Canis lupus familiaris: one gene and its partners. Each later gene encodes a partner of the first gene's protein in a complex. Links are inferred from orthologs where the notes say so. Each region holds a gene or a part of one and is shown on either strand. Other genes may lie near its edges.

What was found.
Region 2: EPC1 (region 1) and VPS72 share a complex: the UniProt entries of both Homo sapiens proteins name them as parts of the nuA4-related complex. The link is inferred for Canis lupus familiaris from reciprocal best matches to the Homo sapiens genes EPC1 and VPS72.
Region 3: EPC1 (region 1) and KAT5 share a complex: the UniProt entries of both Homo sapiens proteins name them as parts of the nuA4 histone acetyltransferase complex. The link is inferred for Canis lupus familiaris from reciprocal best matches to the Homo sapiens genes EPC1 and KAT5.

Annotation. Positions count from the first base shown.
Region 1 is NC_049223.1:12,483,911-12,487,564, forward strand, and holds part of EPC1 (enhancer of polycomb homolog 1), read left to right. Parts: intron 1-809; coding exon 810-969; intron 970-2,000; coding exon 2,001-2,177; intron 2,178-2,269; coding exon 2,270-2,359; intron 2,360-2,449; coding exon 2,450-2,598; intron 2,599-3,654. UniProt on the Homo sapiens protein: Component of the NuA4 histone acetyltransferase (HAT) complex, a multiprotein complex involved in transcriptional activation of select genes principally by acetylation of nucleosomal histones H4 and H2A.
Region 2 is NC_049238.1:60,907,340-60,911,030, reverse strand, and holds the start of VPS72 (vacuolar protein sorting-associated protein 72 homolog), read left to right. Parts: upstream 1-785; 5' UTR 786-858; coding exon 859-975; intron 976-3,691. UniProt on the Homo sapiens protein: Deposition-and-exchange histone chaperone specific for H2AZ1, specifically chaperones H2AZ1 and deposits it into nucleosomes.
Region 3 is NC_049239.1:52,003,463-52,006,265, forward strand, and holds part of KAT5 (histone acetyltransferase KAT5), read right to left. Parts: coding exon 2,737-2,803; intron 2,660-2,736; coding exon 2,570-2,659; intron 1,198-2,569; coding exon 1,057-1,197; intron 979-1,056; coding exon 885-978; intron 110-884; exon of another isoform or gene 1-109. UniProt on the Homo sapiens protein: Catalytic subunit of the NuA4 histone acetyltransferase complex, a multiprotein complex involved in transcriptional activation of select genes principally by acetylation of nucleosomal histones H2A and H4.

The DNA of each region.
Region 1 (3,654 bases):
GAATTAACCCTAGAAATACCATCCTTTAATAATAAGTAGAGATTATTAAATGTGTGATATGATATACTTTGCATAATTTTACATCTGTTCCTCTCTTTATTTTCTTTAAAAGTGACAGACAGGGCTCGGTAAAATTAAAATATGCCAGGTATAATCTTATTCTTTTGTCCTTATTTGAGTTTGAGTGCAATGTTGGGAGGGAGAGAATATTTGTCAGTTATAAAGTTTTTCATTTACTCACCAGATGGTACTGATTTTTTTTTTTTTTTAAACACCTACTGGGTTTTTTAACAGAAGTATAAAGAAGGGAGGGGAAGAGGCCCATAATTTTAACACTCAACGATTTGGCACAAGATACACAATGAAAACTTCAAGCCTCACTTCCCTATTTCCTAGTCACTATCTCCAAAGAAAACCACTATTAAATTTCTCATAATTCATCTAAGGAAAATTAGTTTTATATAGTACAGGCAATTCAAATTAGCAGAAAGTTCTTCACCATTTTAGGCATTAATTTCAATATCTCCACCAAATCTTTCACCAAAATTGGTAAGTTAAAATTTGAACCTTTGTTTTTTTCCCCACAGTTATCTATTTATGGTGCAAAGGTAAAGCTATAAGCCAAAAAGTAACGGAAGAAACCGAAGGAATCATGTAATCTTCATTTTAAATTAGCATTCAGCAAGTAATCAAAGTTTAATATTGCCTTCAGTCTACTCAGTGTCTATAATCGTATCTCAGGCTTTAATAGTCCTAAATATTTACAGAACTAACTTTAATTTTTGCAGCTTTCTTTTCTATAATTTCAGGTATAATTTGGGTGACTATAATGGAGAGATCGTGTCTGAGGTTATGGCCCAGAGACAGCCAATGAAACCTACTTATGCCATCCCCATCATCCCGATCACTAATAGCAGTCAGTTTAAACATCAGGAAGCAATGGATGTGAAGGAATTCAAAGCAAATAAGGTGATAAAAATTTTTATGATAATAGTAGCTGGTAATAGAATGTTGTTTTATCATTAGAGTGAAAAAGAAAAATACATATAAACCCTACCATGAACTATGCTGCAAAGTCCGCTTTTGATTCAAGACTAACCTGTTAATACAACAGTAGGAATAGTAAAGAGAGATACTGTATAGATGAACTCTTTAAGAATTAACTTTTCCCCCAAAAAACTGTAATGCCATAAACTACATAAAACTTGATACAGACATTTAGTATCTGTACACAGCCATGATACTTGCCGTGATCTTTTTCTTTCCAACAGGTATTTTTACCTGTAACCTTTCTTACCTGTCATACACTTCATACTTTAATTAGCCTTTGCTCTTACCTGCACACATATTTCTAACGTGCACTATCAGCTCAATCACTCTTGCTTCTGTATTTTATCCTTGTGTTGTCCCTGTTTAATGATTTCATCTCTGTATCATCTAAAACTGCCTAGATTCACTCCAGAAAGCCTTTGTTGTTTAGCTGCCAAATCTTTACTTCCCTTTATTTTTGTGACACCTACATATTAGGAGTTATCTGAGGTGCTTTGTGTGTGTATAAGATTAAGATTGTTTGCTTTATTATTTTCCCAAAATGGATTTGTTAACTCTTTAGAATAAAGACTAGGACCTCCCCCCACCCCCCGCCCTTTTTATTTTCTCCTAGAATTTTCATAGAAAATTTAGGAAAAGGTACAGGAACCAATGATAAATACTAACTGTAGTTACAGGATTTCAGAAGCTGAAGAACCTCTCTTCTTTTACTTTAAATGAAACAAAATATTTTATGAGATGATGTTTAGGTTGTAAGAACATGTCAATGTTTCACAGAAACCAACCTGTAATACTTTACAATATAAGATGACAAAACATAGGCGTCTTAGATCTCTTCTGAGTGCGAATGACTTCATTATAGCTCTAATCCTGTTTTTAAAGCATACCCCAAACTGCAGGTTTGTTGAACATGGTTTCTAGTGTTTGATTAACATACGACTTTATTGCAGCAAGATAAAGCCGATCTTATCCGACCTAAACGTAAATATGAAAAGAAGCCCAAAGTCTTACCATCGTCTGCTGCTGCTACTCCTCAACAGACGAGTCCTGCTGCACTGCCCGTCTTTAATGCTAAAGATTTAAATCAGTATGACTTTCCCAGCTCAGATGAAGAACCTCTCTCCCAGGTAAAGATAAAAATTTCTCTATGAGCATAGAGGAGAAGGAAGGAGTGACATAGGAAGTCACATGTTTTGACCCACTTCATTTTATTTTAAAGGTCTTGTCTGGCTCTTCGGAAGCTGAAGAAGAAAATGATCCTGATGGTCCTTTTGCTTTCCGTAGGAAAGCAGGCTGTCAGTACTATGCTGTAAGTTTCAGGTTCTCTTTTTTAAATAATAAGTTGTTTGCCTTTAACTGACAAAATAAAATAATTTTTTTGTTTGTTTTTTGTTTTTAGCCTCACTTAGACCAAACTGGCAACTGGCCTTGGACTAGTCCTAAAGATGGAGGATTAGGGGATGTACGATATAGATACTGCTTAACCACCCTCACTGTACCCCAGAGGTGTATTGGATTTACACGAAGACGGGTTGGGCGTGGTGGAAGGTAACTATTTCTGTATTCCTAGCATAGGTACAGTAGGGACAAAGACAGTAGGGTAATCAAATCTAGAGCTTTAGAGAGGGAATCCTTCTAAATAGCTCATTTGTTTCCATTTTCTGTTCTTAAATGATTTTTTTGACTAAAATACTAAAAGAGATTACAAAAAGTTGTTTCAGAAGTTCTGGCACATATTAGAAGAAAGGACTGAATAGGCTAAGAAATGTCATGTAATTAGTACACTAGGTTGTTTAACTTCTCAGTGAAAACACTCTAGAAGGGGTCCCTGGGTGGCTCACTGGGTTAAGCATCTGACTCTGGGTTTCAGCTCAGGTCATAAGATTGAGCCCTGTCCCTCTGCCCCTCCCCCTGCTCATGTGCACTCATTCTCTCTCTCTCTGTCTCTCAAATGAATGAATGAATGAATGAATGAATAAAATATTTTTTTAAAAAGGCTCCAGGATCCATGCATGGTCTGACGTTGACACCCAGTTTTTCAGGATCTAATCACTCTTTTGTTTAAACATGATAGTACCCCCTGTACACTCTAGATGCCTTGTGTGAGAATTTGTGTGGGAGGCAGGAAGGAATTACAGAACACATAAAAGTGAAGAAAAAGAAAGATAATCCTGTATAGGTAGGGGAAAAAAGGCAGAACATAGTATCAAGGTGCTTTCAGGAAGAAACCTGAGGATGTAGAGGGTTTTTTTTGTTTGTTTCTTAAAGATTTTATTTACTTATTCATGAGAGAGAGAGAGAAAGAGGCAGAGACACAGGCAAAGGAAAAAGCAGTCTCCCCAAAAGGAGCCCAGTGTGGGACTCGATCCCACATAGATCCCGGGATCATGTCCTGAGCCAAAGGCAGACACTCAACTGCTAAGCCACTCAGGCATCCCAGGATGTAGTTTTTAATGAATGCTTTATACGTATGTTTCTTTCATTTTCAAGTCTTAATTGCAGTTTTTAATTACTTTAGAATTGTCTGGACACTGAAATTATTTATTTTATTTAGTGCTTTCCCCCCAGTCATTACATTGATATCAATAGTAGCCAAAATTCCAT
Region 2 (3,691 bases), on another chromosome or scaffold:
CACACTACTGTTCTGTCCCCAAGAATCCTGTACTTTAACCTGTAGATGCCAGGGAGCCATTAAACATCTTTTTTTTTAATTTTTATTTATTAATGATAGAGAGAGAGAGAGAGAGGCAGAGACACAGGCAGAGGGAGAAGCAGGCTCCATGCAACGGGAGCCCGATGTGGGATTCGATCCCAGGTCTCCAAGATCGCACCCTGGGCCAAAGGCAGGCGCTAACCTGCTGCGCCACCCAGGGATCCCCATTAAAGATCTTTGAGCAGAAGACTGACAAAGTCTGTTTTTTAAGAAAGGTTCATCACTAAAAGCAGAGTGGAAAACGGACTGGAGCAGAGGGAGACTGACCTCTTCTAAGTGAACATTTGTTGACTCTCAAATTCTGGACTTAGGGTAGTGGGGCTGCTGGCGTCACCCGGTAATCATTCTGCAGTCCAGATCAGCGCGAGCTAGGGGAGGGAGCTTGGGGGTCGTCTCCACGCCGCTCCCCCCCCCCCCCCGTGGGCGGGGCTGCAGGGTAAAGAAGCGGTTTAGCGCCGCCTGCAGCCCAGGGCGTGATCCTGGAGACCCTGAATCGAGTCCCACATCGGGCTCTCTCTGTATGATGCCTGCTTCTCCTCTGCCTGTGTCTCTGCCTCTCTCTCTCTCGGTCTCTATGAATAAATAAATAAAATCTTAAAAAACAAAAGAAGAAGAAGAAGGCTTGACAGACGGGCCTAGAAGCGTCTCGACGCTCTCCTACTTCTGCCTGTGGACGAAGGGCTTCCGCCGCCGCCCGCCGCCGCAGGTAGTTGTGTCGAGCGCCGATACCGCGCTGGGTGAGGGGCCGCTGGTGGCGGCGCAGTCTCGGTAGGCAGTATGAGTTTGGCCGGTGGCCGGGCCCCCCGGAAGACCGCGGGGAACCGGCTTTCTGGGCTCCTGGAAGCCGAGGAGGAAGATGAGTTCTACCAGACGACTTACGGGGGTTTCACAGAGGCAAGAGTCGGGCCCAGGAAGAGGGAGGGGAGGAAGCTACTAGGAGTCCTGAACGGAGAAACGTCGGACAAAGAAGGGGGCGGGGAATGGATAGAATCAGCCCTGGGAGTGATATTCGAGAGCGGGTGGGAGAGTCCTGGATGGGGTTGGAGGGCTCAGGGATGAGGGGCTCTCCGAGGCACCCCAGACCATGGAAGAAACCAAGCGTATACTTCTCGGGTTGCGTGTTTCACTTCTGACGTCTAACGTACTCGAGCTCCTCGTAGTCACGCAGTATGGACTCTGGCCTACTGCTTGGTTATCCACCTGAAGGTAGAAAAGGATCTCTTCACAAAATACAGGAGCTCAGCCTACTTTTTTCACCTTTCAAATCTCAACGTCAATGTCTCCTTAGTTAATCCTTCCCTAACTGCTCTAAAAAGTGGTCCATTTATTTCCTTCATATAATATATTTCGAATTGCAATTAGATTTGGTTTGCCTACTTGTTTATACTTTTCTATTAGATTGTAAGCTCTGTCAGGTTAGAGATGGTCTGTTTTGTCCAGCAGTATACGTCCAGTGCCTGGTCCATTCTCTGGATTGGACCGGCACTGGTGCTGATTGAATCTGTCCATTCTTAAAATATCTGTTGAAGGGATCCCTGGGTGGCGCAGCGGTTTGGCGCCTGCCTTTGGCCCAGGGCGCGATCCTGGAGACCCGGGATCGAATCCCACATCGGGCTCCCGGTGCATGGAGCCTGCTTCTCCCTCTGCCTGTGTCTCTGCCCCTCTCTCTCTGTGACTATCATAAATAAATAAAAAATTTAAAAAAATATCTGTTGAAGAGCTAGGGCAAGCCAACCACTGTGGTAAGTTCTAGGGAAGCGTAAAGTATTGAAAACACCACTTTGTTACTCGTATTCCAGACCCCAGTGGGGGGAACCAGCTGGATTAACAGCTGAAATACTTTGTGATAAGGAGGGGAAAAAAATGGTAAGCTAGGGTGCTGTGGTAATATACGGGAGCCAGAGTTATTGGTTAGGATTGGCCTCCCTGGAGGACATGATGTTTAAGCTTACTACAGTATGAAAAGTAGGCCTTGACTCAGTGAACAGCAGTAGGGCTGGGAGCAGGATAAGGAGAAACGGTGTGTGTGTGGAGGGGTGGGGGGGATGCAGAATGTGTAAAGGTACTGAGTCTGTGTGGTACATGCAGGCCTACTCTCCTTTCTCCAAACCTTGAAGGAGAATAAAATTGATAAGGTTGGAGGGAGTGGACATAGGCCAAATCATGTTGGGCCTTATGAACCATGTTGAGGGGTTTTGCTCTTTTTCTAGACGACTGAGAAGATTCATCAAAGTACCATGATCAGATTTGTATTTTAGAAAGCTCACTCTGTAATGAGGAGAATGGTTTGAAGGAGGCAGTGGGAGTAGAGAAACATGGGCAATAGTTTCAAGACAAATTAAGGACATTGAATCCATAGGACTTGAATCCACAGGACTTGATTGGGAGTCATTACTTACACAGTAGACCAACTATAGTTTAAAATAGAATGTTCTCATCCCTCCCCCAAAGGCCATTTTCCTATTCCTGTCATTTTACGAGTCGTTATTTAATATGTACCCTTCATGCTTCCAAAAAGGATTAAAGGAGGCTTACAATATAAACAAAAAGTAGGAACTGTAAAAATAGAGACAGATCAGAAGTAATTGTACCAGGAACCTCTGCTAAAATAGTAATAGCAATTTATATTAAATTTAGCGGGGCGCCTGGGTGGTTCAGTGGTTAAGCATCTGCCTTTGGCTCAGGGCGTGATCCCAAAGTCCCGGGATCGAGTCCCACATCAGGATCCTTGTATGGAGCCTGTTTCTCCCTCTGCCTGTGTCTCTGCCTCTCTCTCTCTCTCTCTCTCTCTCTCTCTCTCTCTGTCTCTCATGAATAAATAAATAAAATATTTTAATAAATAAATAAATAATAAATTTAGCTGTGAGCTTCCTGGCAGCCAAGCCCTGAATTTCTTTTTTCAGTAAGAAAGAGGCATATACATTCTTTAAGAGAGAAAAATTTATTCAGCATTAAGTCCTAGGAAGAAGTGCACTTCTACATAAAATTATAAAGTAATGGGTTCACTAGATGATGTAGAAACATTCACTTACCTAGTCATGCCTATTAATGACCCTTGATAAAAGCCAAAGGTATGGTAGTAAATCCCTAACTTAGTGAAAGCATCTTGATTGGACGGACACTAAGCTAATGTGCAGTTCAATGACTACTCTCTGGTGCGATGACTTAATACCTGGTTAGAGCTGAGGGGATTAATGTGTTCCCAGGCAGTCTTTCACAAGCATCAGTTGGGAGGAAATGATGGCCATCGGTGCAAGTTTGAACTCTGGCTAGCTTGGCATGTCAGCTGTCTGTGCTGTTTGCTTGCTTTGGCAGCATGTGTACCAGGATTAGCCTGTTGGTCTACATCCCTGACTGAAGAGAGAGCCACATGTTTGAGGTGCCACCCTGCCCAGTTTTTGACTCCCTCGCCCTTAAGTGTGTTTTTCCCTTTACTTTCCTATGTGGCTGCCATTCTAGTCCTAACCTGTAACCCCTCAATTCTAGGGTGTACTCCACGTTCTCTACTCCACTCAGCTAACAACTTCCAGAGCTTTCTGAAACAGCCCTGGTATATAGTTTTCCTTCCTCCCTAAATCTTCATTGGCTCTCCATTATACATATTACAAGA
Region 3 (2,803 bases), on another chromosome or scaffold:
CTTGGATTCATTTTAAGTATCCGCCCACATATCAGGCTGAGGGCTTCCTGAGAATGTGACCCCATCTTGGCATCATTCTATTAATAAAATAACTCAAATGGATCATGACCTTATCAAGTCAAGCCACTGTGACTTCACCAAACAGCTAAGGCTCCCTCCTGTCTCTCAGGTCAGAACTTAACTATCCCAAGGGTTCAGTGAGTGGTGAGTTGAGTGGAGTGATGTAAGATGCTGGGAAGCAAAAGGGGGCCTTGCGGGTGGGGGACATAGAAGAGTTCACGGATGATGAGGGGCAGAGTCCCTTGTGGGCTTTAAGAGACTGACCTGCCTGAATCCAAGGAGCAGAGACCAAATCCACACAAATCAGTGCTTCCTTATTTTTGCTGAGTTAACATCACTTTAGCATTTTGAGCATCCACTATCTGCAAGGCTCAGGTTACAGCTGGGATAATGAAGCACTGGTCCTCACTCAGGAATTTGTATGGTGGCATATGAAGCACTGGTCCTCACTTAGGAATTTCTATGGTGGCACAGAACCAGGCAGATGAGCAACAGTGGCTCACCTGGTTTCTGCTGATGGCTCCCTGGATGGGAGCATATGAGTCAGATTTGTGAAAAGTTGGGTGGTGCTTAGAACCTCACCCAAGGAAGAGTGAGGAGCTGAAAACCTAGCCCAGACAAGCAGGGTAGTTGCCCTGAGAATGGAGAAAGCCTTGGGAGAGTCCCACCTTTATTTCTGGCCAGCTACCCTGGTGACAGCAGGGTTAACAATCATAGCAACCTAGCTTGTCTACAAGGGAGGCACAATGGCAGCACTGGCACTGAGCCTGGGCCCGCATGTACCCACCCCGGGGCCCCTGGCCGGGAGCAAAGGTACTACTCACTGAACTCGATCAGCAGCTTGCCGTAGCCCCGGCGCTGGTAGGGAGGCAGGGTCAGGATGCAGGCCACATTGTAGTCTTCTGTGGATTCCTTTTCCTGGAAAGGGGAGGAAGGTGAGTGAGGAGGGGACACAGCTCAGGGCAGGGCCAAGAGATGATCTGGATGAGCACTCACCTTGGAGAAGTAGCCGACGATGTGGAAGCCCTTGCAATCATACTCTGTCATGACATAGAAGAGGAAGGGATCTGTATCATAGTACAATGTCTTGTGGTCGAGGAAACACTTGGCCAAAAGACACAGGTTCTGGGAATAACTCTGCAAAGGAAAAGGCGTGTCACCACTCTGGGTACCCTGTCTTAAATGTGGTCATTTGGTTTCTTTACCCAGGGCTGATAGATGATGAGTCTTCCTCCCTGGCACCTGACCCGTTCTATTAGGCTGTCCCTCCTACTCAGGCAGAGCTAATTCTCAGAGTCAAGGAGCCCATGTACCAGCTCTGTGATAGTGTCTGACCTCCTGTCTTGCTGGTGAGCTGGGCAAGTTTACCCCTGTTCCCCATACCTCCCCCTAAGTCTTGTCTGGGGGGTTTCCACTGCTCTCTGCTGCAGTAACAAAAGTCAGTAGGTTGTGGCATGTCTAGAAAGACACTGCCAAGGCTTAGGAGAGGACCTCTACCCTGGTGACAGTCTTAGGAATCTACCTTTTAAAAACCACAAAACTAAAAAAATAAAAATAAAAAAAAATAAAAAATAAAAACCACAAAACTCTCCCGCCTCCAGTCACACATACTGGAGACTGATCTCCTAACCTACAATGGAGATCAGGTGTTCTGAAACTGAAAGTAACTGCCTTAGGGGTCTCCCCACCAAAAGGATTCATCTTGCTGCTTTGCTTTACCTCTATACACATTTTCTGCATATGAGGCATGACTTTTTAGCCAGATGCTGGGCCATCAGGATGCCCAAGTCCACACAGAACAGTAGTGAAAGCAGCCTCCTTCCCTTGAGCTTCCTCAGCACCCAGGCCAGAGCTCTACCCTGTAATTCAAGATGCCCTGCTTCTCCCTTACTGCCCCCTCTTTGCCCCAGGAATGGTCCCACAGTCTTAACGGTCCAGATTACTCCCTTCTTCCTTCCCACAGACTAAGGCAGGTTTGAAGCCCAAAACCTGCAGTGACCCCTACTCCTCCCCCAACTGGCCACCTTCTCCCCACCTGAGCTCTGTATCTTGGAACAGCCTTGCCTCATCCTCTCTGCTTCTCAGCCAGAATGATCTTTACCTTTCCCACCATCTGTACATCCACGACTGCCCTTCAGAACCCCACTCCTTGGGCTTCCCTTACCTATCTTATCCTTCATGTTAAGGATCAAAGATCATCTCCTATGTGAAACTGCTGGCTACCTCTGGGTCCTGATAACCCATCCTTTGTTTCATGACACTTATCCCTGGGATCTGAGTGGATGTTGGCAGATCTGTTTTTGCCATGAACTGTGAACTCAAAGATTCTAATTACTGGTCATCTTTATACCTCCCACTAACTACCTCACAGCAGAAACTCAATAAAAATGGAATGAGCTAATCTGTTGGCCAGACTGCCTAGTATTTTCCTGAGCAGGAAAAAGCTGCTCGTTTAACTTCCCCCAGACCACCAGTGCCAATGACTCCCCACTGCCCCTCAGCCACAGACCTTGTTCTTCCGTCCATCAATCTCAAAGAAAGAGATGGTACCCTTGCGGTAAATCTCATTGCCTGGGGGGTGTCGCAGGTCACACTTGGTCTGAGGAAGAGAGGAGGATCAGAGGCAGGGACAGGGTGGGGGATGGTAGTAAAGCAACCTCCTTGGACCCTTCATACCAAGTGACGCTGCAGACACTTGAGACTACGGCCGTATTTGAGGCAGAACTCGCAGAGGTAGAGGACG